Lepisosteus oculatus: one gene and its partners. The protein of the gene in region 3 purifies or fractionates together with the protein of the main gene of each other region. This does not show direct contact. Links are inferred from orthologs where the notes say so. Each region holds a gene or a part of one and is shown on either strand. Other genes may lie near its edges.

Region 1 (7,771 bases), on a different chromosome or scaffold from region 3:
GAGAGCTTTTTACCATGTTGCAATTCATCAGAGAGGAGACCTAAATGTTCCTCAAGTGCCTTTTTATTACACTGCCATTTGACAAAAACGACAATAGCTTTGCATACAAAACCCTTTCAGGGGGCTTTGAGTCTCTTGAGACTTCTGCGAGTGGAAAGAGTTTCAAAACAGGAAACGTACAGTGTCAGTGTTTGTTCATTTTCTTTTCTCAAAGAAGGGCAAAGAAGGCACTGGTGGAATGACCCAGCACCGAGATTCAAAGCAGACAGTGAGAGACATTTTAGTTTATTGATACCAGCTGTAGATTTACTGCATCTGTCCTGTCTAATAATGGGCAATCTTCCCCAATACATGCCACACTGCTGCACCAGTCTTTGCAATTCGAATGGTTCTATTTCCGATCCCTCCATATGAGAACAGTTTTCTCAAGTAAAGACCTGTGATACCAGTAGAGCAATGTCAAAGCTTTTCTCAAGAGTGAGCTCTAGGAGAATCAAAGTAGATGGGATCAAGCCAATAGGGGAATACTGAGAAGCTTGTGAACACCATATTTTAATTTAAAAAGCCACAGTGCATCTGTGCAATGAGGTTCTCACTTCAATGCATAGCCCACATGTTATCTTTTTAGCCACAATTCTTTGCTCTCTAATTCTTCAGCTCTTCTTTATTCCTCTTGTACCTTGTTCCTGTGTTCGTACTACCTCACACTACCAATAACAGACATTTACGTATGATGATCTCTGTTATTTGTCAATGACACTGTTTCAATTTATTTAGCACTTCATATGAGAAACGCTGTGGTAGCTAAGAATACTCTTCTTCAGACTCCCTCTTCTGGACGGCCGCTGTACTACGGCTCTCCTAAACCAAGCGGTCAAGCAAACACAAACAGACATCAGCACCTGGTAAGCGAAGATATCACGAAGCAAGAAATAATACGTTCTTGTATTTACCTGTCAGGTAGATTTCAAAGCTTTGATATTGATTCCAGACAGTCAATAAATGCAGTACACCTTAAATGGCCAGTAGGAGCCTAACTAAACTATCTAATCTCTAGATTGACAGGGAACACAATAAACTCTGAATTTAACTAACTGCAAACACTGAAGATGCAGGCCTGTCTCATTAAAGAGCAACTTAAGCTATCAAAACTGTCTAGGGTTTTGGCTCTGGTCACAGAACAAGGTCTGCACAATCTTAGAATCTCTGTTAAGATTAGTCAGACAGAGGGTAACACTTTGTCTAATAGTTGTTCCTTAATATTAATGAAGCCGACAGGATAGACTCTTGAGACGGGTTCATTGTTTAAGAAAAGGATTGTTTTGCCTGTTTGAGACAGATGAAGGATAAATTCAGAATGTGCAGAATGTAAATCAGATTTAGGAAAGACATCACATCAGATTAGTTTGAGATATTATTCTTTTGATCTTTCATTTTCAGTTTTAGACAAGAGCCATCAAACAAAAAGAGTAAAATATATATGCATTAATGTGATGTTTACATATGTACATGTGAAAAGAATAGATCGGGGTTTTCCCATTAATTAGAACATTTCTAATTGTATTCCCTATAAATGCAAGATTATTTTGAAAATATAAATCTATCAACAAAATATTTGAATCATGCAATGTACTGGGCGTTTTAATTTTACAAAATATTGTCATATGCAGACATATTTTCGCAATTATTATACATGCTCAAATAATATTTCTGAGTGAAAGGCTAATTATTTCAAATTGAAACTTCCGTAATCTGCTAACGCAGGTAAGGGTCTTTCCTCCTATTTCAAAGTGCCAACTCGTCAGTGTCAAGGCTGTTAAACCTTCATACTTTAGTTTGGTACCAGACACCTACTGCTAATACGTGAGGTTTAATGCTGCTGTTCAGGAGGCAAGACTGTCACGATCGGTTAGGATTTTGGTTCGATTCCTACTGGGGTCCAGATGCAAAAGTTGCTGTTATTCCTTTGTCTGCCTGGATATCCTCCACATATTCCGGTTTCTTTCCAAAGGATTGCGATCTGGGATATCGAAATTGTGTTTGTGGCCTGCGATGGACTGTCGTCCTGCATGGGTATAGTTCGGCTTTGCACCAGATGGTACCGGGATATCAACCGGGAAGACGCAGCCATTAGAGGGAATGAGTTAAGGATAACATCACATTTTTAAATTGTGACTCATGTGACAAAAGAGTGGCTAACATAGTTCCACAAAACGCCAAGATCAGCGTTTCATAAACTTTGAAACCTTTGAAACTTTGAAACCTCAAAGTTTCAAAGCTCTGAGACAGTGAAAGTCCAAACGGGGGATGGAAAGAGTTAACAAAAATATCTGCATCATTTATCTGATCAGAAAAGAGAGGGGGTTTCAGTTTCCTGTGATACCATAATCTGCGTTTCAGAAAGGTTTGGGGTGGTGGTGGAGGAGGAATGAGGGGAGAGGGGGGTGTGAGGAGAGTTGAAGCAGAAGAAGAAAGAAATGTTATCCACAGGCGTACGTGGAAGCCCTGACCTGCAATATTCAGGATTCGAGGATCCTGGCTTTACTGGGATATTTTTTCTTTGATTTATCATTAACGCTGACACTGTATCCGCCTGATAAATGACCTTTGCGAGAATGTCAGCACACGAGTTCCAACTTACAATACGATCTAGCCGCGCGGTGTTCCTGTGCTCCAGAAACGTTTCCTTTACACGCATGTCTTGTTTTTCTCGGTACAATAAGGAAACCCCCATTGTTAGGGCTTCTTTTGAAAATCAGTAAAATGTAGATTAAAGATAAATGTAAATTTGCTTACATCACCTACTCGGTTCTGTACCTATTGTGTAGTATGTTTTACAGTGAACAAAATCAAGTCATGTACATGTGTGTAAAGCATCAGACATGTTAGGGATTAAATACCAAATTTTATGAGGAAAAACGAATATACGCTTTTATAAAGTTTGGGGATTATACAGTAGCTGCCTCCCGAGGTTCATGTTTAATAACCATACAACGTCCATTTTGAAATTAAGTAGAAATAAGATAAGACATGCAAAGAAAATGTTGTATTTTTGAGAATAAGATTACTTTTAGAGAAACAGAAACGATTACTTATTCTCCTATTTCAGCACAATCCCTACAATGACAATGACTATGTTTTCTCCTAATTTTTGGATGAGTACATTTAAGAGTTAACTGAGATTTAAGATAGTTATTAAACAAATAAGCAACTAAGATTTTGATTCTTGGATTCGGAGGGTTGTGGATGACAAGGGCATTGCTTTTCCTTCTGCTGTGTGATTTTGCTGACCGCAGCAGGAAAGCTATCCAGCCCTCACCAAAACTCCTTCTCTTATTCTGAAAGCTCGCAATGGCCAACAAAACCATTAAGTCCCTATCACCCAGTGTCCTGGGGGAAGAGAATCGAGAAGATAAAGTGTATGAAAATTTTTTTGCAGAACTAGAAACACTTGGCTTACCTTTGGGAACAACTCTAAGGTAGGGATCTTAAACCCATTTTTAAAGTTAAAAGCAGGAAAGAAAAGTAAAATGCTAAGTGTGTGCTCGTGTCTGTTATTCCTGGAACTTAAATGGCAACTCTTTTCAACAATAGCCGCATTTAGGAAAATAGAAAAATAGAGTAAGAGTCACGGAATGGACTGTGAACTTCTGTGAAGTAATAATTAAACCGAATAAACTGTGGTGTTTCCTGGTAGGACGTTCGAACAAAAGTACGCTGTCCTTCAATTACTATCACTCTTAAACTGAGATTTTTCCTAATATTATATCCGCTATTGCGCATTTTTAAATTAAGAAAACGAACATGTTACGGGTTGTAGACTGTTGTACTCGATTCGGGTTAAACACGCTTCATTGAAATGTGTCTAAGGAGATCTATTTCGCCACTATTTTCCCTATCATGTTTAATTATACCAAGGGACAAGTATTTTTGTTGTTTCTAACTGACTAGACCATACTCTTACAAGAACAATGTACTGTTTATTTCTCTTTTCTTAGTAGGTAAATGTATTTCTTCCCAAGGGATTGGAATGGAACTTTAAACATTAAGATAGCATCATTTAATCTAACCGTACTATACACTGAATACAGAAATAAGGAATCCTCTTGTGATCCATTTTTTTGTTCTGTGCTACATATTATTTTCACCGCAGTGGAGCAAGGCGAGGATAACTCCACACTGTGAAGTGAAAAGAAAGACGACAAAACCACAAGTTTCGTGTGTGATGCCATATTCACACACCTGAAGTACTCAACATCTAGCACATTGTGTTTTCTTTTCCTTTTACGTCGCAGAATGTATTTCTGTTCTTTAACGTTCCCAGGATGTTCTTTTTCTCCAGAGCGCTGTTACTTGAGTAAATAACATTTTATGAAACGTTAGAGTATTTCCAATTTGAGAGAAAAAGGGTGCATATGTGTGAGTGCACGTCACTCTGAAAAAAAGATCATTTAATATGATGCCAATTTACATGAGACAAACATTAATAAATACTGTAAGGTAGCCCTGTAATGAAAACATTCAACAACCAATCAAACGAAGCATAAGTCTTTGTTTAAATGGGAATGTTTATTTTCTGCAAACGTGAATCACCATGTGTATGGCGGTCCATGATTTTATGTTTGAAGCAGGTAAGAACACATAGGCTACATACTCTGAACATGCTTAATCCAGCAAAATCAATTCTTCCCCTTTGGAACACCTGCTGCCAACTTCACCGCCGACTCGCCCCCTAGCGCCGACTAGAGGCAGCACTCTCGTTCCCCGCAGTGTCACTTTGTCACCGAGAGCACAACAAACATGGCGGAGACTGCAACCTTGGAGAGTATCACCGAGCATGAACGTATCCTGCAGGAAATCGAGAGCACAGACACTGCCTGCGTCGGCCCTACGCTTCGGTAGGGAGAGAAACGTTTTGCCGTGCTCACCTTCGTTGAATCATAGTTGTAATTTCTACCTAAGACCTTGCAAGTGTATTAATTTAGCGGCCGGGCCTTTGTTAGCTATTGCTGCTAACCAGCTGAGCTTCCTGAACTGCGGCACAAGCAGTCGTCTGCTTCTTACTTCCTAGTTTGAAATAAATACTAATGCAATTAAACAGCACAATGTCTCGTTACATTTGTATACTATGTTATCGATTTATGTCTGTATACTTAAATAGTGCCAACAAAACGATAACCCGATAGTTATTTTAAGAAATAAGTGTTAGGGATTTACAAAACTGCAAATTGCAAGAGTAGGTAGTGTTTAAATGAAAGGGAGTAAATGCATATAGGCCATAGGACCGTTGTTTCTGCATATAGCGGTTCAATATGAATTTATGTATGCTTGTTATTGTCTGAAATATACGATGGGAACAGCTTCAGTACGACTGTGTACATTTATCTTGAGAAATTCTGTAGAGATTATAATAATTTGGTCTCAGAAACAGTTATTATAAGTGGGTGTGGTGGGATATCTGAAGGTTGTTACACTACACAGAAAATAAACTGATGCTGTTTCGATAAGGGGTAGCGCTTGCTTGTGATCCCCTTCTCAGTATCCGTTCAGCACGATGTTGCTAGCGCGTGATTTCGCGTTTGGAGAATGTTGATTAAAAGCGATTCTGAATGCCGGTTTCTGAAGCAAAGCACAGATAGTATTAACTACGGCGTAATAAATATAGAAAAAATCTAGGTGGGACATCCATTCAACCAAGAAATCTTGACTGTAGCCTGCTTGAGACCTTCGCTCGAAACAATTGCAGAACAAACCACGGGTCAACTAATGACGGCAGACATTTTTTTTATTTAAAAAATGTTAAATTCCAGGAGGGTTAATTATACCTTTGAACGTGTCTTCTGAAGAACAAAGAAATATTTACGTCTAATTAAAATGCATAAGAAAGGAAGGGGGTGTTTAGGAAATTCAAAAAATCTCTTTTGGCATGTATGGGCATGTAGTGCCTTATAACGTCAAAGCTCTGCCGAAGCAAGATGAATTAAGGATGGTACCGATTCCCTGTCCTATTTAGTGCATAATATATTGTATGGCATACCTTATAATAGTTCAAACGCACGCTTTTTTTTACAGTTGCTGTGAGTCTTCAGAGTACTGGCATTAGACGTTTTGCGTCACCTGCTGCAAGAGTTATTGATTTCATGAAATACACATACCTTTAAAAGCACAACGGATACACCATCTTTTGGTAGCTAACGAAAATGCTCATCGAGCAACTAGTTCATTTTACAATTTGAAGGCGGAAAATGTATTTTTGTGTGTCCCTCACTGAAGGGATCGTTTCTCCCATTCGTTTATCTGTGAAGTAGGTCACAATTACCGAATCGCCCTGATTTGTGGAGGCGCTCTGTGGGTTTCCTCTTAAGCACACTGTAGATCTGATTTTCAGTGTTGGTGCGTTAGATTTTTGTGGAGTTTTTCTGTTTCTCTTCCTTACTGGTAGGAGTTTCTTTTTTGTGGAAAAATTCTGTAATGGGAGTTTAGTGCTCCAAATGTATTATGCATTTTCGAGATTGTGTTTAAATGCACAGTAAAAATGATATAACCGTACCTATGTATCAGGCTTTACAGTCTAGCCATTGACATTGGCACAGCCAGTTCTTTCTGATTGTTCAGATGAGTTAACTCAGTGGTCTAGTGAAGGAGATGGTTTTCTCAGGTGCACTGAACTGTACTGGAGTGGCTTCAAGCCTCAGTATGGCTTTCACAGCATATTGAAAGTATATTGGATGGAAGAACAAAAAGCTAGTTTGAACAGCTTGACTCTGAAAACCTTAGTGTCATCGTTCGTGCATTGGCTGAAATGCAGTTGTTCTGTGGTACATTACAACATAACCATCCATCTGATTTCTAACTGCTCCAGCCAGTTCAGGATCACGGGGTATCCGGAGCCTATCCCATCAAGCAACAGGCACGAGGCAGGAAACACCCTGGATGGGATGCCTATCCATCAAAGGGCACACATAGACACAAACACAGATACACACACCACGACCAGTTTTGTGTATCAGATAGCACCCTAGGTCTGGAATTAAGCAGCAATGCTAATCACTGCACCTCCATGCCATAACCAGATTTTCCAATACTCATGTGCAAATTCAATTCGAATAGATTTAAGATTGTGTTAACCCCAGTTCATCCAAGTGAGACTTGCTAATCACTCCTCTTTCAGATACTGTTTAGCTCACTGTTAAATTCACCTTTTAAAGTCCTTAATCTTAAAAGGTTGCTTAAATCACAGGTGGGAATCTAATTGGCTTTGCGTATTGACTAGGGCAGGCCTTTTGACATGGAAATATGTAACACTAGCTAATCCACAGAGAATAACTGCCGTGTAGAAATGCTCATGGTGAGCACCTGCTGTACTGGGAGTGGAGGTTCCGGACAGAGCATTGCTCACAAGGATTGCATCAGTTCATAACTGCTGTGGTTTCATTGTGGACTGGGGGACTAAAATGTATCGTAATTGCATTGTTTAAAAAAACTGGTTTACAGTAAGGCCCAGAGATATAAAAAGAACCTGAGAAAAATAATAATAATAATAATAATAATTGCTTACACTTATATAGCGCTTTTCTGGACACTCCACTCAAAGCGCTTTACAGGTAATGGGGACTCCCCTCCACCACCACCAATGTGCAGCCCCACCTGGATGATGCGACGGCAGCCATAGTGCGCCAAAACGCTCACCACACATCAGATATCAGTGGGGAGGAGAGCAGAGTGATGAAGCCAATTCATAGATGGGGATTATTAGGAGGCCATGATTGGT
Region 2 (6,896 bases), on a different chromosome or scaffold from region 3:
GCATTACAGTAGTCGAAGGACTACACCGACTTGAAGGAGTTAAACTTTTGGGCCCAGGCTCAGAAGGGAAGCAGTGAGATCCAGACTCTGAAATCTGAACGACCGATTAACAGAAAAAACACTTGATTCAAGTTGCCAGATTCTAAAGGCCCTGACACAGTCAGCCCAGCGAGCTTCTCTAGAACGGGCAGTGAAACACAAGCCAAAGGACACCGATGGAAACTGTGTCAAAGTCCATGTTGTGGATGTCTGGAACAAGCTACCCAGCTATAATGTTGAAGCCGATATCTTGGCTTCTTTCAAGAAACAGCTGCAGATCCTTAGTTAAATTAGCTACTAAGTACTAAATGTGCAAATTGGGCTGAGTGGCGTCCTCTTGTTTGGAACCCTTCTCGTGTTGTAACACCTGTGTGTTAAAGCAACACTGCAAGATTAATGTAGGGGAGCTGAGTTACCTCAAACATCTTTACTGTGCCTGCAGAACAGGTGACAACCTATCACAGGGTTTCTCTAACTGCTTCACTCCACACAGCACTGCATGTGAGGACCAGCAGCCCATTTTCAAGGCAAAACCAAACTAGACCAGAACCTGGGATTCACACAGTGAGAGCCTCTCCTTTGTGATAGACTGGGCTGTGTGTATCTCTGCTGTGCAGCTCAGTAAGATGGGTGTCAACAGCATAACACAGCATATTCATATACTGTACTTCAGGCTACTGCAGTGTCCAGTAAAGCTGGCATTTTGGACATGTCGCATGCGTTAGATAAATGATCATTCTAGAAAGAGTGATCAGGTAACTGATCTGGAAATGTGCCAGCAGTCAAACAATCACAGAAGCTTTCAAAACATGAATCTCTTGTTTGCAGCTATCGCATACTGTCTTCCCCATTGAAGTACATCCATCCTTCCATTTTCTAATCTCTTTTTCCAGTTGAGGGCCACACTGGAGCCAGACCCTATCCCAGCTAGCCACAGGTGCAAGGCAGGACACACCCTGGACAGGACGCCAGTCCATCACATGGCAGACAGACACGAACCTGCCAATCGACTCAACAGTATATGTTCGGACTGCGGAAGGAAACCAGAGCACCGGGAGGAAACTATACAAACTCCACACAGACAGCACGGCAGGAACCAAACCCAGGGCCCAGCGCCGCAAGGCAGCCCTGCTGTCCACTGCGCCACAGCGCAGCTCATCCCACCGAAGAACACTCCTCGTCTTTTTGCGGAGGACCTAATGAAATTATCATCATCGGATTTATAGCACTGCCACTTATTCAAAGCGATATCTATTTGTATGGACATGCCTCAGAGTTAGCTCAAAACATGACACTGAACGCCGGCATGACTCTGGGTCACAGGGGCTCATGAAAACATTCCGGGTCCACTGCGCTGTCCTGGAGCAAGATCACAGCTGACTGACAGGGGCTGAAGAACCAGCGGGACAGGCGCTGTGGGCAGCAGGCTGAGGGTTAACTCCCAAAATAACACCCAGTACCACAGCCTCATCACCAGGTCCCGAAACCCTTCTGACCCTCTGTCCTCTTCGGGCTAAATCAACCGATGCCCCATTCTTGGAGTCTATCTGCTACATGAACCCAAGCGCCCCGTGGACAACTGATGTAAACTATTCAGGTAGAAGTACAGGAGCCCGTGATGGAGGCTTAATAAAAGTCCTTCTAAAGGTCAGGTGTCTCATGTTGAATAAGGACATGCTCATTCTGTAATTACTTTTGCCTCAGGTTTCTGCTCTGACGCTGATCTTTAACTGGTCTTATGATCGTGTTATCCAACGGATGTTCATTTCGAGGGGCACAGAGGACTCGGAAACACGAATCCGAGCTGCTGACGTCCAAGAGCTGGACCTAATTCAACCACGGAGCCCAGCGATGGTCATTATCTCCAACTCGGAAAGCTCACAGGAGCTCGGACTCCGACAGATCTCTCCCCTCGCCTGGCACCTTCCTGCTGGTCCCAACCCCGAGTGAGCTCTGAGGACTGAAAACACCTCCCACAGACTACAGCCACTACATCACCTCGCTCAGAAAAACTCAAGTCCGTATTCTCTCTACCACACAGTTAAAGTTTAATTAAAAAAAACAAGCACCCTTCTGCCTGTGTTTTAGGTCGTACAGAACTTTCCCAAAACCGTTTCATGTTAGCAGCCTGACTATAGTCTGGGTGTTCGAACTCGAGTGCTAACAGTGTACAACTAATAAAAGCCCCTCATTCCTGCAGTTTTACTCTCAGAGAGGAGGACAGGGCAGAAGGGGGCTCTGTCTGGGGCGGCTGGCTCCGGTGAGCAGCGCAGTGAAGCGCAAAGAAACTTTCGTCAGCGGCTATTTTAGCGTACACACCTAATAATAGATTTTCCCATGTCCACACACGCCCCAGTCACCTTTCGGAGAGGAACGTAGCCAGGCTTTCAGAAGAAACAAAAAGGGATGAGCTCCATCAGCATAGCAAACAAGCGCTTTCAGCTCCCGGACCGCCTGGTCCCGGCACCGGGACAGTTTTAGGAAGCAGCACAGCGGGGGTGAGGCAGTGAGCAGCACTGATTCCCGTCAAGGCTGTCCAACAGCTGAAGAGCCGCTCCGTGCCTGCACTGCCCTCCCCGCCAGCGCCAGGGGCACACTGGCCGGGAGGGACCGCAATGCCGAGACCATATGAGCGGCTGCCGGATCCACAACTTTGCAGAAGCGCTCCAGAAGTCTCCGGGAGAGACTGATTCAGGGAGACTCCCTCGGGCAGCTCCGAGTTTGTGGGAGTAGCCATACCGGGAGGCTCTGAGCTCCGCCGCCCTCACCAACCCCGAGGGGCACCTGCTAGCCCGCCCTGCGCCCCGGCGGGTCCCCGCTGGTCCTTACCGGAGTGTGGGTCCGATGCAGTTGGTGTCCGTACTCTCGATCTCCCGCAGGATTCGTTCGTGCTCCGCAGCTATCTCCAAACTCGCCATCTTCCATGTCCCAGTAACGCCGCTCCGCTGCGTCACCTGAAAAACAAACCATCCCACGCGAGGGGGGGACTCTGGGAAAGAGAGTTTTACGGAGGGGGAACGTTAAGGAATCTCCCATGGAATGAGCTGGGGTCAAGGACTACAATTCCCGTGAGTGCTCTGACTAGGGGGGGGGGGGGGGGGATAAAAATGGATTATGGGAAATTGAGTTTCGCTGCCTTTTCTACAATAGGCGGACCCGTGCAAAGATACTTAATGTTATAAAAAAAAACAACCCACACACACGAAACGTGATATCTGTATTTGTAAGTTTTTATTCTTCAAGGAAAATGCTCTCAAGAAATACATTCATGCAGAATGCTGGTTTGTTAAAAATATGCGTTGTAAAAATAAATGTGATATCCTTCAAACTTTTACATTGAAATGTTGAATTACAGAATTAATATTAGGAATCCTTTCCATGATCCTCTCCATTTTCTAAAATTCTGTTCTCTGATTTAATTCGTATTTCTATTCCTTGATTTCTTTTACGATGATGAAACATTATTTAAATATTTTTTTCACGATCACAAGAAATCCTTTCCATTCATCCAAGAAAAATCGAGCCAACGTCTCTGCCTAGCGGCGAGGGTGCGTACAGCACCTGCCTGTACTTCGACGTGTGCGGTAGCGAACATCGCAAAACGCTGGTCGATTTGTACGCGGGCGAGAACTCTAGTCAGGAGCAGGCAGTGTCGCGGAAAGCAACTTTAAAGAGTAATCTATTACAATTACAGGTAACTTGTGTGAAGAATTGCAGTCTTCATAGATATTGGTTTATGTAGTTTGTTTACAGGTACTATGTGGAGTAATGCATTACTTCTTAAAACTAATTTCCCTTTGTCTAAATTTAACAACTTTATTGGAGTGCTTTATAAATATAATTTTGATGAGTTATATAAAACACGAGCTGGTTGGGCTGAATGACTCTCTCTTTTGTAAATGTATCTACGTTTCTAATAAAAAATAATCCGTTATTAAACCGCTAAAACCATTGAAAACAAATGTACCATTTACTGTACATCATCCAACCACGTAAATAAGTATCAGGAAGCTGCTGTGTTAACGAGGGCACTGTCAAGCAAAAAAGATTTAACAAGACAATATTTGCACAGTCAGAATCGTGGAATCAGATTACAGTAACGACATTGCATAGCTGGCTACCTCCCAGTGTGATCACCGGCAGAGACAATCCGCTAGGACTCAAACCTGCTCTCCTGAGACAAAGCCTGTGGAACCTGTTGTCCTTCTGCATGTTTCCTTCTCAGATGTAAGGAGGATCAAAGCGAGAGTCACACGCTGACGGCTTTTCTGCCCTTTGTTAGAGAAGTGAAGTCAATGCGCTGAGGAGGACAGAAGGAGGAGAGTCGCCCGGCCACTGGAACCTCTTCTGCTTTGGGATCAAACCTGTACCAGACAGGTCAAAATCTAAGCTTTTCAGTTTGAAGGCAGCAGATAGTGAAGGAGCGAGAGATTCTTTTTCACTGGCTGCTGAAAAACAACAGCAAAAGTTGACATTTTCTTGTACTATCCCAGCAAATGAAATGGAAAGAGCTGGGCCAAAGCAGTCAAAGCAAGGCCTTACAAATGGCGAAAGTGCTGAATCAATATTTCACACAGGAGCTCACTGTGAACGAGGAATCTGCCCTCGAACTGCAGGGAAATGAAGTCTTAGCCCTGTCACCTTCCGTAATCTCGGCAGAGCAGAGACTGTAGTGGACTAGGACAGGGGTTCCCAGTCTGGTCCCTGAACTGGACACTTCCTTGTCTCACTGTTTGACTTTCCCAGCTCTTGTTGGAGGTTGTATTTCAACTATTGCAAACCAGCAGGTTTAGGGAGGAAAAGGAAAGCTAGGCTGCAGCTGTAAGTGGTGTTGGGGTCCAGTAGGTGACAGGGTATGGTGACAGCTGACACAGCTTTCCAGTGTCTCCCAAGGGAGAGGTGTGAAACAGAGGGCCTGACTGCTCAGTGGTCAGAGGTTATGAAGAGCCAACCCCAGTGTCCCAGCTGAGATTCCCACTGGGCCTCTCGGACGGTCCCTCTTCATTGAAGTGAAGGAATGGCTTCGCCTGGAGCTTCGCTTCTCCTGCTCAGGGCTGCTGGTACATCGTGGCCTCTGCATGGCACCAAGGCCCTTCGGTGTTGGAAGACGCGGGCCCCTACAATTGCCTGGGTAAACTCTGCATTTTAAGGGAAATACTGTAAATGCTCAGATTCCATGCACAGCTTGAGTACTGAGTACCTGTCACGATCGGGGTCCCTCCTCTTCATGGCGTTTTAGTTGACTATGTGCACCTGCCCCCTGTTTTGTGCCCCGTTATTCAAGCCTGGTGCTCACGCTGTCCCCGGCTCAGCCCTGGGAGATGGACGCCACAAGGCTTGGCTATTCCCCGGGCTCGCGGGCAGCCCAAGGGCAGGCCGTCTGAGTCTGGGGCTCGGAGCACCTGGCCTCGTTACTCTCTTTTAACTCCTTGTTCTTGTTCCGGATAATGTTCCGGATTTTAACCCTGTCTTGTCTTGGATGGATCACCCAGTTTTGGGATTTTGGACTGCACCCCGGATTTCCCGTTTTGGACTTCCCTGGACTTGTTTGCCTTCGCCACGTCCCCCAAACTGGATCACCACTGTCACCACCCCCTGTCTGTCACCCCTGCTGTACCTTCCCCTGATGTCCTTCTCCACTTATTTTCCAGTTTATACCATCTGCAGAGGGTCCTGAACTACGCTTCACGGGAGCCTGGATCGGCTCATGGTACAGTATCCCTACTCATCATGGGGCGAACAACACCACTCCATGCATTGAAAAACAGTCACAGAATCAGAGCAGTGGCAAGGCCGTGCACTCCTTACAGATACTACACAATCAAATGGAAGCACCCATGTAAAGTCACTCCGCAGGGCATTAGGCCACCATGAGCTTGCAGGACAGCCTGCATGCTCCTCCAGCATCTGGAATCCTGCAGTAAACGCTGGACCGCGCTCAGAGCTGGTGACTGAGAAGGCCATGACCTCAAGCCACAGGTGTCAAGGCTGTAGTCTGCGATGCTCTTGGCTCTTGTCCCTCCCTCTGCGAGCAGGACTCCGGCTGCTGTCTGGCGTGACGGCCGAGGTGCAGCCCAGGACTGCTCAGCTCACCAGGCACAGCGCTAAAGGCAGGGCCCACTCTGTGCATGTTCGCACCCGGAAACGAGACCCTGAGATGAAGACCTCAGTCCCTGCAGGAGACCAGAGCCAGCAATCTGGAATTAAATTACACCATGGACCTTTTCCTGTCTTAGTCTACCAAAACAGCTCAACTCTGATGGTTTCCTGCTGGTTCAAATGAAAGGTTCAGCCTCCTCCTGGGTGTAATCAGTCGTACTGTGTTCTGTTTTGCGGTGTTGTGTTTCATGTAGAGTTCAAGAGTCTGACTTTCAGCCTGTCTAGAGGAGGAATAAAAAGTAAATAATGGAGCACTTCCTCAGGTGTCAGGGGAAACTACAGCATGGTCCACTGGCACTGTCTTTATGTTTCACTCCCTGTCCATGGCGAGCGCCTGCAGACAGGATGACCTGCTGTCTGACCTGTGGGTCTACTGTAGGATGACCAGGCCATCCCATGACACGCTGGAGAAGACCTACAAGTCTGGGACCAAGGTCCTGCGGTCCAGGCTGCCCATGTGAGGCACTGCCTCCTGACTCTTCACTGACTGCGACCTGTTCTGCGCTGGGAGAGCGACAGAGGAGGCCCTCTGGAGGACAATGGTGGTATGACAGGACTCTTCACTACTCAGAGTGGGCCAGGCAGAGAGATCAGAGGTGTAAAGGAGTTTGTAGACCCTCCCTAGTGGCACGCAGTTGGCTGAGCATCACCAGGCGTGGGTGCAATTCGGATTGACCAGGGCTCTTCTTCTTTCAGTG
Region 3 (7,771 bases):
GCTCATCCTCTACTTTTAAACTGCAGTTTGAAAATCAATAAAACAAAATCTATAAAAGTTAATAAAACCCATCCAGTGCTGACTAACATAGGCCATTGACTACTATAAAGTCTGCTTTCGGTTCATTTCCTGCACTCCAAAAGTGTTTGGGAGAAAGCCCTTCACTGCCTTGCAGGGAACAGACAGCCTCCCTTTCCACAGCCCAAACTCAGACACACTTCTCTGCCAGCCTGGGTGAAACCCAGCACCACTACATCTCAGTGCAAATCAATGATCTGAACCATGGACATCGGGGCTCGTTGATTGTTGCCACCTGTGCCCAGGTAGAATGCAGACAGCTGCCCCCAGACATTCAGTACCTTGTAGCAGAGGGTTGCCAGGTTTGAGGGAGACTCCTCGCGAACCGCTCGGATCTCCGCTGCTGGCACCAGGGCAAACACATCCTGCACTGAGGTAGCCGTGTCAGCCCAAAACTGGTCCCAGAAGGCGTCGTCGGTTGCCTCCACAGGCTGGAGTAAAAGATCCCCCCCAAAAAAGAAGAGAACATGAATTACACTTCCCAGAAAGAAAATGTGCTTTTACATAGAAAGTAAACCAAAAGAAAGAATTACCCCTTTTTACCAAGATGCTAACCAATGCAAGTGACAAAAGTATGACTGTATACACCATAAGGACACCCCCCCCCCGATGGGATGCCAGTCTACAGCAAAGCAGACAGAAAGACAAGAGCACAGACATACCCGCTCACACCTAGAGCCAATTATCCCAGAAGTCAGTTAAAGTACCAATACAAAAACATAAGCAATTTCTAAGGGAAAGAACCATCTCTGGATCTGAGAACTTGTGTAAAACACACAGGGGAAGAAGTACGCTGGAAAATGGAAAGGAGAAACGCAATCTGTATGACCTGAGGAAGTCTAAGTCCCTGCAGATGAAATGTCTGTTTCTCTTTTCTTAACCTTTAATTATTCCTTTGCAGCCAACGCATGGTGACGCCGATCTCCACTGAAACATACCATACAGATAATTGGTTGGCTTCACTCACCAGTAACGACACCACACGATGAGTTTTACACTAAGAAAAACTTTGATATAGATACCGATTTATGCATTTTTGATTCGGTAAGATACAAGTACGTACAAATATTTGTTCACGTAACAATCTTGAAAGGCACAGATTAACGAAATTAAATCATTTATTATTTTTGTGTGTCCACATCAGAATAGCGAACAACAACCTAAGATATTCGTCTCTAGAAACGGTGAATCGTGTCTAAAGCTTCTGAGTCCCCCCCGAGGTGAAAGCGTTGACAGTCAAATTGAGATTCAAATAAGAAAAAAAAATGTAGACTACTCAAATAATAAGCCTGAGTTGTATCACTCAGTTTGTACATACATTTGCATGAGACGATAGAAAAACAATCGAACAGCAAACTAACCTACTTGCCCGAATATTGTAGCCGCCATAACATCTATAAACAGTATGTCATTGCTTATTCTCTTATCTCACTCAGTCCACCTTAACCAAGCACCTGCCGCTCAGGTTTGCGAGATTAAAACACGTCATCAGTACAGTAGACCTCAGAAGCATACACGACTGTCTTTGAAATTACAGATTTAATTTAAACAAATATCAACACACTACCCTCTTTACTGGCTGACTTCAGTGCTGTTCTAATTTCCTATTTATCGTAAATCCACGAACCCCTGTCTCAGAGTCCACCTTGAAACACCTTCACCAGGTGTGCGCTCGCTTAACAGAAAAACCTCGGTATATGAAAATTAATAAATGTACGCGATCAATCGGTGATTTACTAGTAGAAACCCGCATGCGAAGTGGGAAAAAAAGACCAATCTCCCCATCGTTTATCGAAAATGATTTCCCAGGCCCATCAAGCTCTTAGGAATAGTCTACTACTAGCTACCTAGAAACAGTAACTAGCTACCTCTTTATTTACCGATGGGGGTGCGGGATTTTTTAATTCATTTTCACCCACACACAACGCATGCAAAATCCAGATTTTGTAGAGCGACAATTATAACAGATTGTATACAACGGTAAAATCTGTTATTTACATCTTTTTACAACCCATGTCAGACTGCATTTATAATAAGCGATACCTTTTACAATATGAAAGCAGAAAACGCACATAATTTAACAGAAAACGCCACAGTTTTTATTTCACGTTGTGTTTAACGCGCCCGATTACTGTGAAAACGCGTCATTTATTTATTTTCTTCAAAGAAATCCGTCTGCTGGGCTCGTCTGATCCATCCTTTCTCTGATGTTCGTGTACCATCTGGTCCCGTTTTCCTCAGTGCTTTCCATCAACCCAGCGTTTCAGGCTGCATATGTGAGCCGACAACGCTGCCTCCCTTTTTAAACGCATCGTTCCCCGTGTCCTTTACCTGCGTTTTAGTTGTGAGCTGTATTACGGCTTTCCTGAAGTTCAGCTTGGTGTCGGAGTTCCCCATTTTTTTTTTCCTCCCCTCGGGTGTCAAGACAAGCCTGCCTGTTTTGATCCCTAAATAATCTCTCTCTCTCTCTCTCACCACCCTCCCTCCTCCTCCTCCTCCGGCTCTCTCGCTGCCAAGGCGATGAATGAGGTGGGAGCAGGATCCAGGATGAGGGACTTCCGGGTTCCAGGCTTTCATGTGCACGCTCGGCGCTCGAGCAAGGCGCACAGCTCCTCCAGGCGTATCAACCTCCACTGCGGGACCCCAGGACGCCCCTTCAGATCCTACTCTCATTGCTGTGTCAACAAGTGCAAGTAAACATCAATTTATCTACCGCAATTCAAAATAAATACACATATGGGCATAGAATCCGGTGGTTGTGAAGTGTATAATCCTCGCTGGGTCAACCTGTCATGTTAGATTACTTTTATCAATAATCATATTATTACCCCCCACCTTACCGACTGTATCGATACATTTTAATGACACTAGACGCCCTTTGACATGTTTTTGGAATACAGCAAGCGGTTCCCGCCCCCATGTCCAGGAGAGCCTCTCTCCGGTTACTTTGATAAAATGCGCTAAGGCTGAGTGCGATTTTTTTTTTAACGCATTGCGATGGAATTGACCCACTTAATCCACTGACTACTGTAGGCGTTTAAATTATGCAACAGTAACTTCAATAGTATAAATGATATACGTGCAAAATTACTGCTCAATCGCCCGCGACTAAAATCTCTCATCCTTCATATCACAAAAATAATTCCTTACACTGATATATAACGCTTTTTCTGGACACTTCAGTCAAAGCGCGTTATATGTAATGGGGCCTCCCCTCCACCACCCCCACCAATGTGGAGACCCCACCTGGATGATGCCTTATCATTAATGACATCATTAAGTCAACAAGCTCGTGACTCTTGTATTCCATATCTTGGGCACCCAGTTTACCACGTGCCAGGGCACTACCTGTAGCTGAAGCATTCTTTTACCTTCGCATGGGGCGCAAACAAACAATTCTAAAATCTGGGTGTATAGTTTTCTCTCAGCACTATAATGATACAATTTCTCTTTCTGTTCTTCTGAAGCTAAAAGAAGATTTTGAGCCTGTGAGCCTGGTCAGTACCTGGGTGGGAGACCTCCTGGGAAAAACTAAGGTTGCTGCTGGAAGAGGTGTTAGTGGGGCCAGCAGGGGGCGCTCGCTCTGCGGTCTGCGTGGGTCCTAATGCCCCAGTACAATGGCGAGTCCCCATTACCTGTAAAGCACTTTGAGTGGAGTGTCCAGAAAAGCGTTATATAAGCAATTATTATTATTAAAAAAGAAATGTTACACTTTGAGTAAACAGTAAAATTAAACATTAGATACTTTTCAGATTATTAATCATAACACTGAGTTATTATATGCCATGGAAGTGTAAAACACAGGACTATGTAGGTAATACCCAAGTTTTCCCAAAATTCAGTTTAATTCGATTACCAGATAGATTCATATTTAAACCGTTTATTCTTACATATTATTTGTGCCAACAGTATCTGTATACCTATACATAAAAGTTGATGTCCGTTTAAAAAACGCTGTAGTTCCGTGAGCAACCTATGGGCGCTTGTTAAAATTAAATACTTCCTGGGCACTCAAACTTTGAGAGAGTCATCGAGACAGATGCTTCTGTAGTGTAAGACACTGCATAATTAGAATTTACCAGGAATAGCCTTACCAAAGGTTTATAATCGCCCTTTAAAAAAGAGCACAATAACATTTTTTTCCCCATTTATCACAATCGATATTATCAGGCTATTCGGTAATTGGACAGCTGTGATTGTTGTACTCTAGTTCCTAACAAAATAAAGGATTATCTTAAAAAATTAAGCGCTGTACTTTTAAGTTCTCGTATTAATGGCCATCCTACAGCGACACGATGTGAGGGGAACAAGAATTGCATTAGGTTTATTTTGTGGTAAACCCCAACACGATAAAATCACCTTGAAAAATTAGAATTTATATTATATAAGACGACAACTGTACACGGAATAATGTATTTGTGTTTAAACAGAAAAAAAACAACCAAATAGTATGTCCATAATCATTAATTCAAAGTGATTTAAATGACTTCAGTTCAAAATATTAATAAAGTGAGACTCTTTTTTATTGCAGCATTCACTAATCCCCTAACAAAAATGTTTCGCACGCAACAATTTTAGAAATAACAAAAAATTCTTTTCAAATGCAATTCTTGCCACAACCAAAATGAAGGAAACACCGGACCGTACGGAGAGGTTCTGTACTGCCTTGCTGCCAACCGGAAACGGAAGAAGGTCGAAAGAGAAAAACAGGAAGCAAAACCTGTTAGTATGAGTAGGGGTTCAAGTGCATTTAATTGTTAGAATCAAAAATATAAACACTAATACTTTACTTTAATAAGGACATTAACCAGTCATTTAGCAGGATGATTCCAACGGAGGACGCATCCTCTAGGAAGAGAGAAATAGAAGAGAAACTCAAACAGGTTTGTAGAGGATCAACGGCACTTTTAGAGTATTTTCATCTGTTCACAGTCATCTTGAAGGACTGTGATTCATTTTCCTTTTTGGATATAAAAAAAAAACATTCTTTGCCGACATTAGTTTACGCATCTGTGTGCATTCCAAGTTGTATTAATTGCAAAAGTTCATTGTTGTTAATGGTAGTACAGTATGTGGAGATTTCTACTGTCAAAGCATAGTGATCTCTAACGCTTGAGCTCGGAGGCGGCCACACCCCTGTACAATGGGGGCTTTTTAGATGGTTTCAGTCAGTGGTTAAAGATCATGTTCATTTTGACTGTTAGTTGGCCTAATTAAGCAATTGAGAGACAATGGTTGCAGTTCAAACAAGAATACCCATTGGTTCCTAACGGCCAGGGCTGGAGCCCTCTAGGTACAGAATATAAGGTGTGATTAACATGCTTTCCAGCACCTCTGTTATATTTTTACCCTTCGACAGGAGCAGGACACGTTGTCATTCATCCGTGAAAACCTGGAGAAAAGTGATCAGCTGACGAAAGGAATGGTAAGAAAACCGTTTAGATCAGTGATGTTCTCTCCTGGTTGTGTAGGACTGCAGGGCACCAAGTTTTAACTTGTAATCCTGAAATAGTAAAAATGTAGAAACAGTGGCTATACAGATGGACGTAAAGCCAAACAACAATGAGGCTCTCCAGTGCCTTATATGTTTGTTTTTAACTTAGACTTATGTGGTTATCCCAAGGTTATACAGTCTGATTTTCTGGGTTGGTGTGGAATTGCCTTTTGGTAACAAAGCAGCACTGAAATAATTTGTTGGATTATAGTATACTGGGGGTGTCCATAGTATTCATGGTCCTGTGGTCCACTGGATCTTTCAGGTTTCATAGTTCTTTTGATTTGTCTCTGAATAAGAGTGGGTAGGATAAAAAAAATGAATGCAACTGCTTTTGCAGCTTCGACTCTGGTTAAAGACCTCAACCCTCTCCCTACGCTGCCTCGCTGTTCTGCAGGTTTCCATCTTGTCCTCCTTTGAGAGCCGCCTCATGCAGCTGGAGAACTCCATCATACCAGTGCACAAGCAGACAGAGAATCTGCAGCGGCTGCAGGACAACGTGGAGAAGACTCTCTCCTGCCTGGACCACGTCATCAGCTACTACCACGTGGCCAAGGACACAGACAAGATCATCAAAGAGGGGTGAGGCGTGGTGTCCAGCATGAGGAGGGGCTGGGAGTGTTCTGGGTGAACCAAACCCACCGTTCCAAGATAATAATAATAATAATTGCTTACACTTATATAGCGCTTTTCTGGACACTCCACTCAAAGCGCTTTACAGGTAATGGGGACTCCCCTCCACCACCACCAATGTGCAGCCCCACCTGGATGATGCGACGGCAGCCATAGTGCGCCAGAACGCTCACCACACATCAGCTATCAGTGGGGAGGAGAGTAGAGTAATGAAGCCAATTCATAGATGAGTAATTCTTTCGTTTGAATGGAAGGAAGAAGCCTTTAACTTCATTAAAAAGCGGTAGTCCACTACCTGGGTAGTTATTTGCAATTTGCAAGAAATCACCAGATAATGCGATTTAATTTAATCTAGGTCTTAGTCTGCTTGCAAAAACATTAATAAATCTGAATACTGAAAGAGTGTGAAAATAGTGTTGGTTTCACTTAAATCGATGCAAAACAGGTGCACGTTTTGAGACTGCCAGTTTATTATACTCAGTTAAGTGTGTGTTTCAGCCCTACAGGCCGACTGGATGAGTACCTTGCTTGTATTGCGAAAATCCAGAAAGCAGTGGAATATTTTCAGGACAATAACCCTGATAGCCCAGAGCTCAACACAGTTGTAAGTCCTGCCCCTTTTTTGAATCTAAACACTGTTTTTATGTGTTTAATATTACAATTTGTTCATGTCTCTTTTGAATCTGAGTGATTTCTGTACTGTACTGAAAAAGACAAGATGTGTATTTTAATGCAACACCTATTTTGTCCGTTGCTCATCTTTGCCAGCTCTGTTACATGAGGTCATGATTTTAAGAATGTGAGGATGAAGCTTTTCAATGGCAGTACCTCCTAAGCTCAACTGTCCTGATAGACTGATGCACATTCTTAAAAGGACCTTTGTTAAAGAAGGAGTTTGGTTTTACCCTGTCATCTTCCCTTCCCCAGAAAGCGAGATTTGAGAAGGGGAAGGAGCTGTTGGAGGCTGAGTTCCGGAGTTTGTTGACCCGCTACAGCAAACCTGTGCCGCCCATCTTGATCTTGGATCTGATTGGAACCGATGAGGACCTGGATGTGCAGGAAGAGGTCACACTGGAGCACCTGCCTGAGGCCACACTGCAGGATATCATCTGCATCTCTGGCTGGCTGGTAGAATACGGCCGCAACCAGGGTACCCCACGATTGTCCTGGAACTCTTTCACTGCATGCAGCTTCAGTATTGAGTTTGCACTGTATGGAGGGAATGTGTGGTGAGGGGTTGTAGTCATTAAGGTTGCAATTCTGTTAACTCATTTATTTTTATCTTAAAAAGCAAATGATAAGAAAAGCCTTTTCCCTCAAAAAAAAATCTTGCATACGTTGTAATTAAAATGTATATTCCTTATGGCCTAGGACTTTAAACTTTTTTTTAAATGATGCCCTTTAAACTCTTTAAAAGGCATCATCAGTCCAGCATGTTTTCAATTCATTGGCTTTTTAAGGCCCATGAAGAATTTTTATTGGTCTAGTTGTGCCTTGTTTAGAGCGCAGTGAAGTTGGCACCCCTACGAATAGGACATACAGTTAAACCCACAGCCGTTGTTTGTG
Region 4 (7,380 bases), on a different chromosome or scaffold from region 3:
TTTTTCTGAAAATTAGTTCATATTTGTAAAGCGCTATGGCACAAGAGAGAGTTAATAATTTCACTTTTATTTCCATGCATTATATGCCATTTCAGGGTTCATGAAAATGAAAAGACTTAATTTGAGGTTTTGTTAGCCAATGAATGCTTTGGCAAAAATGAATTAGGCAATTTGTTTCTCCTCCATGCGGTTATTTGAAAAAATGTAAAAGGTTCTGACTGTTAGATGAATATTCCCTACAACAGGTATATATTCCAGTATAAACAGCTTGACAAGAAATACTTTTCAAAGCTGAAGAAATACCCACAGCAAGGGGAGGCTGGCAGACATAAGATTATTGTGATTTTAGAACTTTCTATAAGTGTAATTTACTCACCCTGGACACTTTCTGCCTATCAGCTCAGAGATGTCTTTTAAGGCAATTTTGTCTTTTTGTATTTTTATATGACATATATCCCTTAGCAGAACCAGAAAAGGAAATGAAATCAGCCTCACATGCTGTACAGAGATGAGTATGAAGTGAAAAGAAAAAAAAAATCAAAGTTCAATACAGCTGATGTAGCCATCTTCAAGAATTTAAGCAGAGAAAGTAACATCACCTTAACTGCTGTCATTCTTTTTTTTAAAGAAATTGCAAAAGCAATGACAGAAAATTAAACATAATAAGTTACATTTCCAACTGGCTAATGCTCACAAACTGATTCTCTTAGCAGAAACCCAGCTCCCACGACACGCGACCTGAGCAATGAAATCCCGCAATCACTGGAATTGCGCTGTGAAATTCTGTTCATGGGTTGGAAAACTGTCCTCTTACACTAGAGAGGTTGTACTATCAGGGTTGACGCGCATCATTCGTGACCCATTCCTTAGTTCCTGCAGTTGCTTGGCTGGCTTCCCCACTCCTTCTTCAAATCGCTTCTCCACCACAGGAAGGACCGTTTCGTAGAGGAAGGATGCGTTCTGAACGATAAAGGCTTTTTTCTCAGTCTCCTGCTCGCATCGCAGGCTGTAGTCCACATGCTGAACAGCAACCAGAATTATTTCCCGCAGGCTCTCCAGGAGCACCATGTGCAGCTCAGGGAAGTAGAGCTTCAGCCCTTCCTCCAGGAAGGCCATCATTTGCTTGGTAAAGGCAACGATGGTGTAGCTGAGATTTACCCAGCAGTCGTCACCAGTGTACTGCTCAAAGCTGCCCACCCCACAGTTGCGCATCTCTTCTTTCAATTTCCCTAGGGCCTCAGGGGTCATCAAGTTCATTTTGCGCCACATTTCCTCAGAGTTGCGGTGCTTCGTGGCCTCAATGATGATCTCCTTATAGCTGTGAAGGGCAGCTTTGATGTCTTTGACTAGGAGAGACTGGAGGGTGAAGGTGAGGTCCAGACCAATTTCACTTAGTTGCATGCAATGTTCCTTTGCGACCTTCACACACTCGGCAGCAGTGGAGAGGTTCTCCTTGCTATCAAAGACCTGCTTGCTGAAGGCATCCACAAACATCCTCATGGCTGAACGAGACCACACCACAAATGCGGAGTAGCACCCAGTGTTCCCAGCAAAGTCCATCTCAAACTCCTTGGCGGTCTCAAGCAGGCTGGTGAAGAAGATGTTGCAGAGCTTGTGTATGTACAGCAAGGTGGCACCCTCGATACGCAGCTGACGGATGGCTGTTTGAACGGCAGCTGCCCTGTTCTTCAGGAAGAGCTCACAGGCCTTGGTGGACTGGCCCAGACGGATCAGCTGGGAAACTGCGCGCCGTGTGGCTTTGGGGCCACCCCGCAGGGACCGGTCTGGGGAGAGCTCGAATACCAGGACCTCGGTCAGCTGCCGCACCCTCTCATCTACCTTGACCCTCAGCTCCTTGACGGCCTGGTTCACTGGTTGGTCTTTCAGGTACTCATTCAGCTTGTCCAACAGGTCTACAGCTCCTTCAAAGTCACGCTGTGCAATGCAGACATCTAGATCCTCTGGCAACTCCTGAATCCATTCTAAGCTCAAGTCCACAGTCTCCTGCAAACCCATGGCCTCTTCCTCATCAAAAGGGTTGTTTGACACTTCTTGTCGCACTGGGGAATTGGGTGTCTCCTCCTCTTTCTTGTGCCTCTCCTTCACTGCCTTATTTTTTTTGGTTTCATCCAGAATCTCCAGCCACTCTTTCTTAATCTTACTGTTCTCTGCCTGGAAGATCCTGCTATCTGGAAACATCAAGATTTTGAACATGTCTTTCATGGGGGGGTTGTCTTTCACATTGACTATAGCAAAGCTGTCCAGGTCGTACAGGGCGTTGTACTTGTACCTCACTGCACCCCGTCGGTTGGGAAGCCAAGTAGCAATGAGAAGGCAATCATTCATCAAAAAGGCATGAACCTTTTGGATTTGGGACATGTTATCAACATCATATTCCAACAAATCTCCGTTATAAACTAAATACCTTCCAGGGGTCTCCATAATGTTTTTACAGCCCTCTACTTTCTCCAGAAGTGTTGTTAGCGTTCTCTGCTTTAACTCTTCGGTTTCCTTCGGGAAGGCAGCCAGCATTTCCTTCGCAGCTTCATCTTTGTCCGTGGAGAGCAGCGTCTGAGTGATGCTCTCCATTATACTCTTCTGTTCGGTTAGAATGTGGCTGAGCTGATACATTTCGCTCTCCAAATAAGAAATTTCTTTGGCAGTCTCGATAAACTGTCTGTAATTCTTGTAGACATTCTTCTTGAGGTTTTGTGCCGTCTCATCTGCCAGATTTTGTATTTTTTGCCTGTGCTCTTGCAGGTCTCTGTCACCATCTGACTGCTGAGAGAGCTGCTTAACATAATTCTGTGGATCGAAATTTGGCGATTCCAGTTGCTTACGTAGTCTGTTTGCAGTGTCTGCCATTTCCCTTTTCACAGTATCACTAGTGAAAAAAAAACTCGTCAGGTTTATGTTTATACTGCGTGTCCGAATTATTTCACGGAAACAGCCGGAAACCTCTTACAATAACAAACTGACCAACTCCCAGTGAAATCATAGGACCTTCTTTTTTTTCTGGGTGGCCAACAATGAGGTGCTCTACAAAAAACAGAATTCAATAATTTAATAAAAATATGGTTCCTTGTGTAATAAAAAAAGAAAAATAGTTTAATAATTCAACAAAAGTGTGTTTTTTTTCTTAAAAATTCAGATAATCTCCCATTATCATATTTTTTGGAATAAATTTATCACCATGAACTCCGAGTAAGTACATAGTAGGACAATGATATACAGGAAGAAGACGAGGGAGGGTAATCGTATCCCAGCATGCAGTTCAATATAGCAGCTGTTCATTTTTTATTCAACATAGGTGGTTGGTTTTATACACTCGGGCTGTTAAGTTTGTTTTTTAAAGATAAGATGTTACACTTTTATGTGAATAGCAATGATTTTATGAAACTGCCGTCATGTCTTCATTGAAAAAACACAAGAAATAGAGATGGGGAAAACTAACTTTTTTTTCACTTTGACGATAGCTAACTAGTAATTAGCTTCAGTGAACAGTGCTAGTATTGGGATGTCAATGGACGAGGATTTCTTGCTAGCTCTTCAGTTACAGGACCAATTTGATCAAGAAGCGTCCGTCTCCATCGTTGACGACGATGACGATTACGTTCAAAATAAGAAGAGGAGAGTGGAAACCAGTGATGAGCTTGTTACTTACCCTCGGTCCTCTTTTAGACCTGAGAGACCGCTGTCCATAGTGGACGAGTCGTGGGAGATGCTGGACCCCAGCCCCGATGTCAGGGCGATGTTCCTGCAGTTCAACGACATGTTCTTCTGGGGCAGACTGGCCGGGGTGGAGGTGAAATGGAGCCCACGAATGACACTGTAAGCCACCCAACTTTTCCGTTGCTTGGGAATGACATCCAGTATACCCTGGAGATGCTCCGCTGCCACGTTTTATATTCCAACATGATGTTACTGCATTTCATAGTCGTTCCGCTAAGTACCCGTGATAAATAATGTCGAACAGATTCATACCCCACGTTTATATTTCAACATTTCAAAAACTGTAGCTAATGATAGATTTAAACTCCTTTAAAAAGAAAGTAAGACTTTTTTTAAAGAGTTTTATTAGCAGTTCGATCCATGTATGGTTTTGTGAGCTTTAAAAATCTACCGAGTATTTTTTTGCTCTTCTTATGTGCATAGATAATTAAAATACTAAAATTATCTGCTTTCTGCTTAATCCGTTTAAATTGTGTGGATGATTGGCGTTTGTAAAAGTCTGCCACATAGTTGGAAGAAGTCTTATCTGATTCTCATGTTGTGAATATAACGCTTATATAATTATATAATATTAAATATTCCTATATCTATTGTATATACAGTACTATATATTAGTATTACTATTATTGGAGTGGAGCGCACTTTAAGGCACAGTAGGACAAGTGTTAAAAATTAGGCTAGCTCTTGAATAGTCTTGAATAGTCCTGAGTACTTCTTGATATTTAGTTTTCCAGATATTTAGATTCGTAAACATTAGACTGTCATTTCAAAAGTTTTTTTTTCCCTTCTCATAAAATACCCTAGTTTTTTGGGGGAATGACGGAGTTATACAAGTTGAGGCTACTGCTATTTACTCAGATGCAGGGGTAGACATATTTGTATTTGTATGCAAGTCTGATCCATTTCAGATTTTGTGAGCTGTATGCTTTTGATAAATGAAACTGATGACACAAGTAATCAGATATGCATGTGTGTGTAAACAGGGTATTTAGAATTTATTATTTCCAGTTTTGTCTCTGCAGTTTCCTTAAATAAGGTGACAAGCTTTAAATATCCTGCAAGATCCTACCCTTCACGGAGCCTAAAATCTGAAATGGCTCTAACTGCTGTGAAGTGGGAGTGCGGGATGGTTTGAAAGGTGCTGTTTTCCTGCCACAGGTGTGCAGGTGTGTGCTCATACGAAGGGCGAGGAGGCCTGTGCTCAATCCGCCTCAGCGAACCGTTGTTGAAGCTCAGACCGCGGCGGGACCTGGTTGAGGTCAGTCCTGCCGGTCTGCTGCATCGGCTTGCGTTACCTGTGGAATTTCCAAGGCTAAACTAACAAAGCCCCACAGTCTTGTGCCCTTGTTCTTTATTTTCTGAATTTCTGAATTCTGAATTTCTGAAATCCAGTAACTTTTACTTAGAAGTGAATGAAAGGACAAGTTGAGTTTGTCGTTATTGCCAAACAAGTTAACTGAGCATCAAAAGAAACATAAGCCTTACAACTGCAACCCTTACCATCAGGTGCACTGATATTTTATTGACCAGGTTGTTAATGCTGTCTTGTGCAATTGTGTCCCATTACTCTGAAAGAGCCTAGACACACATCACTGGGCTGGTTCACTGGTCTCTGAGCCCTAGATGCCAAACTTTGTCCCAGCTCATCCAGCTGGTCTTTAATGGGGCTCACGTGAATCCAGGATGCATTCAGTTTATACTTTCTGAGCCCTCACCAGTCTGCATATACTACCACTCTAAATTTCCTATTAAATTCCTACATTCACTGTATTACACACTTAAGTGATTAAGTCAAGGCATTTGTTTGCAGTAGGTAGTAAATACGCATCTCCCTCTGAGTTTTCAATGCTGTCACATGTCTGGAAAAGTGTTCAGTGCACTGAACTTAAGAAAGTAGAAAAGGTTATTTTTTTAAAAGTTCATGACATGAGTATGACTGAATATTTGTGTTTTTTTCCAGACGCTCTTACATGAGATGATCCATGCGTTGCTTTTTGTCACTCAAAATAACCGCGATCGGGATGGACATGGACCAGAGTTCTGCAAGCATATGAACAGGATCAACAAAGCCAGCGGGACCAACATTACTGTAGGTGACTGATGGGGAAGAAAGCACTTTTTATATAAGAACAACATTAGAGTTTGTTTTTCAAAAATAAAAATCAGTTATTTAAAAGGTCCTTCAAATTATTTCAGTTTTTTGTTTTGCGTTAACACCACAGTGAGGTTTTGTTCTTAAGTCATAACGTTGATTTTTTTTCTTGAACAAGTCTTGGATTTATTTAAACCCCAGCCCCACTGAGGAGGGGAGAGAACAAAAGTAAAAACAAAAGAGAAAGAAAAGAAAGAAAAACAGGGAGCAAAAGGTACTAAGACAATCAATATGAAACATCAGATATACGAGCAGTGTCCAAAGCCAACATTGTAGCAAAAAGTACAGGGTGCTGCCAAGCTTTCTTTCTAGAAGCAAATTATCATGTAAACATCCTGACCAAACACAAGAAAAAGAAATCAGGCTCTATTACATATCATGCCATAGCCTTTTATGCTGCAGTTATCGCTGCTAAGAAAACTAATTTGTAAAGCATTAAAAGTCAAGAGCATTGAGTTATTTCATATCTCAGGAGATGGGGGATGATATTATCCCACATATAGCTCAACACAGACCTCACATATTTCCAAAATGTATTAAAATGTGTAAAATAAGTGCCCATTACCCCAGATATAGAGAGGCAGGGAAGATCTGTTGAAACTCATCTGACCTCTCTGTCTATGGTAACATAGGCCCTGTGGATAAACATGGAACTAATAAGGTGGTGTGCCAGGTTTTTGGATGATGATGATTATAATAATCCTTACAGGATTACAGAATTTCAAGTGGCTGCTCTGCTCAGAGCACTTTCCAAGTAATGGAGACTCCCCTCCACCACCTCCAATGTGTAGCCCCTACCTTGATGATGTAATGGCAGCCATAGAGCACACAGGACACTCACCACACATCAGCTATCAGTGGGCAGGAGAACAGAGTGATGAAGCCAGTTCATAGATGGAATAATATTACCCCAGATATGACATGTGGCTTAATGTTAGTTTATTCTTTTCTCTTTGCTGCAAAACTGTCATGTTATGTTTATGTGCTTTATATTTAGCTCTTAATAAATCAAAGGAATATGTATATTTACTATAAATATATAGGAATATTCTATTTTTGCCTAGTTCTGTTGTGTATTATGCAGTTATCACTTAATTTTTTATTTTAATGTTTTTGAATAAAGGAACTACATTTTCTTCATATTACTTTATTGTTGGCTGCAATAGTATATAGAGTATGACATTTAAATTTGTTTAGGTCTGCACAATGCATTTTTCAATACATAACCATTATTTTATTTTCAGTTTTTTCTGATTATTTTAATGATCTTAAGCGATGCAATCATTCAGAGTGATTGTGAAGTTCTTGAACAAATATAACACACAAGGCTATCCTGTAAAGCTTCACATTTTTATTCATAATATTCACTGCTTTTAGGATGACATTTTCAAGTGCCTAGATTTATCCATGTCAATTTCAAAAAAGAGAGGAAAGCAGGTTTTACTTGTAAAACATGAGCTTCCAAGCAAGAAGACAAACTGCAGCATTTGCCTAGT

What was found.
Region 1: the proteins of exoc7 (region 3) and exoc6 purify together in Homo sapiens (affinity purification with mass spectrometry; 4 studies listed by BioGRID and IntAct, counting the BioPlex papers as one, with this or other methods). This does not show direct contact. The link is inferred for Lepisosteus oculatus from reciprocal best matches to the Homo sapiens genes EXOC7 and EXOC6.
Region 2: the proteins of exoc7 (region 3) and exoc6b purify together in Homo sapiens (affinity purification with mass spectrometry; 3 studies listed by BioGRID and IntAct, with this or other methods). This does not show direct contact. The link is inferred for Lepisosteus oculatus from reciprocal best matches to the Homo sapiens genes EXOC7 and EXOC6B.
Region 4: the proteins of exoc7 (region 3) and exoc8 purify together in Homo sapiens (affinity purification with mass spectrometry; 4 studies listed by BioGRID and IntAct, counting the BioPlex papers as one, with this or other methods). This does not show direct contact. The link is inferred for Lepisosteus oculatus from reciprocal best matches to the Homo sapiens genes EXOC7 and EXOC8.

What each region holds. Positions count from the first base shown.
Region 1 is NC_090699.1:23,699,251-23,707,021, reverse strand, and holds the start of exoc6 (exocyst complex component 6), read left to right. Parts: upstream 1-4,765; 5' UTR 4,766-4,800; coding exon 4,801-4,898; intron 4,899-7,771. UniProt on the Homo sapiens protein: Component of the exocyst complex involved in the docking of exocytic vesicles with fusion sites on the plasma membrane.
Region 2 is NC_090696.1:2,756,362-2,763,257, forward strand, and holds the start of exoc6b (exocyst complex component 6B), read right to left. Parts: upstream 3,008-6,896; 5' UTR 2,958-3,007; coding exon 2,869-2,957; intron 1-2,868. UniProt on the Homo sapiens protein: Component of the exocyst complex involved in the docking of exocytic vesicles with fusion sites on the plasma membrane.
Region 3 is NC_090704.1:43,129,474-43,137,244, reverse strand, and holds the start of exoc7 (exocyst complex component 7), read left to right. Parts: upstream 1-4,759; 5' UTR 4,760-4,901; coding exon 4,902-4,961; intron 4,962-5,437; coding exon 5,438-5,503; intron 5,504-5,969; coding exon 5,970-6,154; intron 6,155-6,703; coding exon 6,704-6,809; intron 6,810-7,132; coding exon 7,133-7,355; intron 7,356-7,771. Other genes in the region: protein HID1b, read right to left, coding at 360-509, 2,410-2,475. UniProt on the Homo sapiens protein: Component of the exocyst complex involved in the docking of exocytic vesicles with fusion sites on the plasma membrane.
Region 4 is NC_090697.1:55,327,689-55,335,068, reverse strand, and holds the start of exoc8 (exocyst complex component 8), read right to left. Parts: upstream 3,009-7,380; 5' UTR 2,866-3,008; coding exon 811-2,865; 3' UTR 1-810. Other genes in the region: DNA-dependent metalloprotease SPRTN, read left to right, coding at 3,518-3,831, 4,891-4,990, 5,693-5,821. UniProt on the Homo sapiens protein: Component of the exocyst complex involved in the docking of exocytic vesicles with fusion sites on the plasma membrane.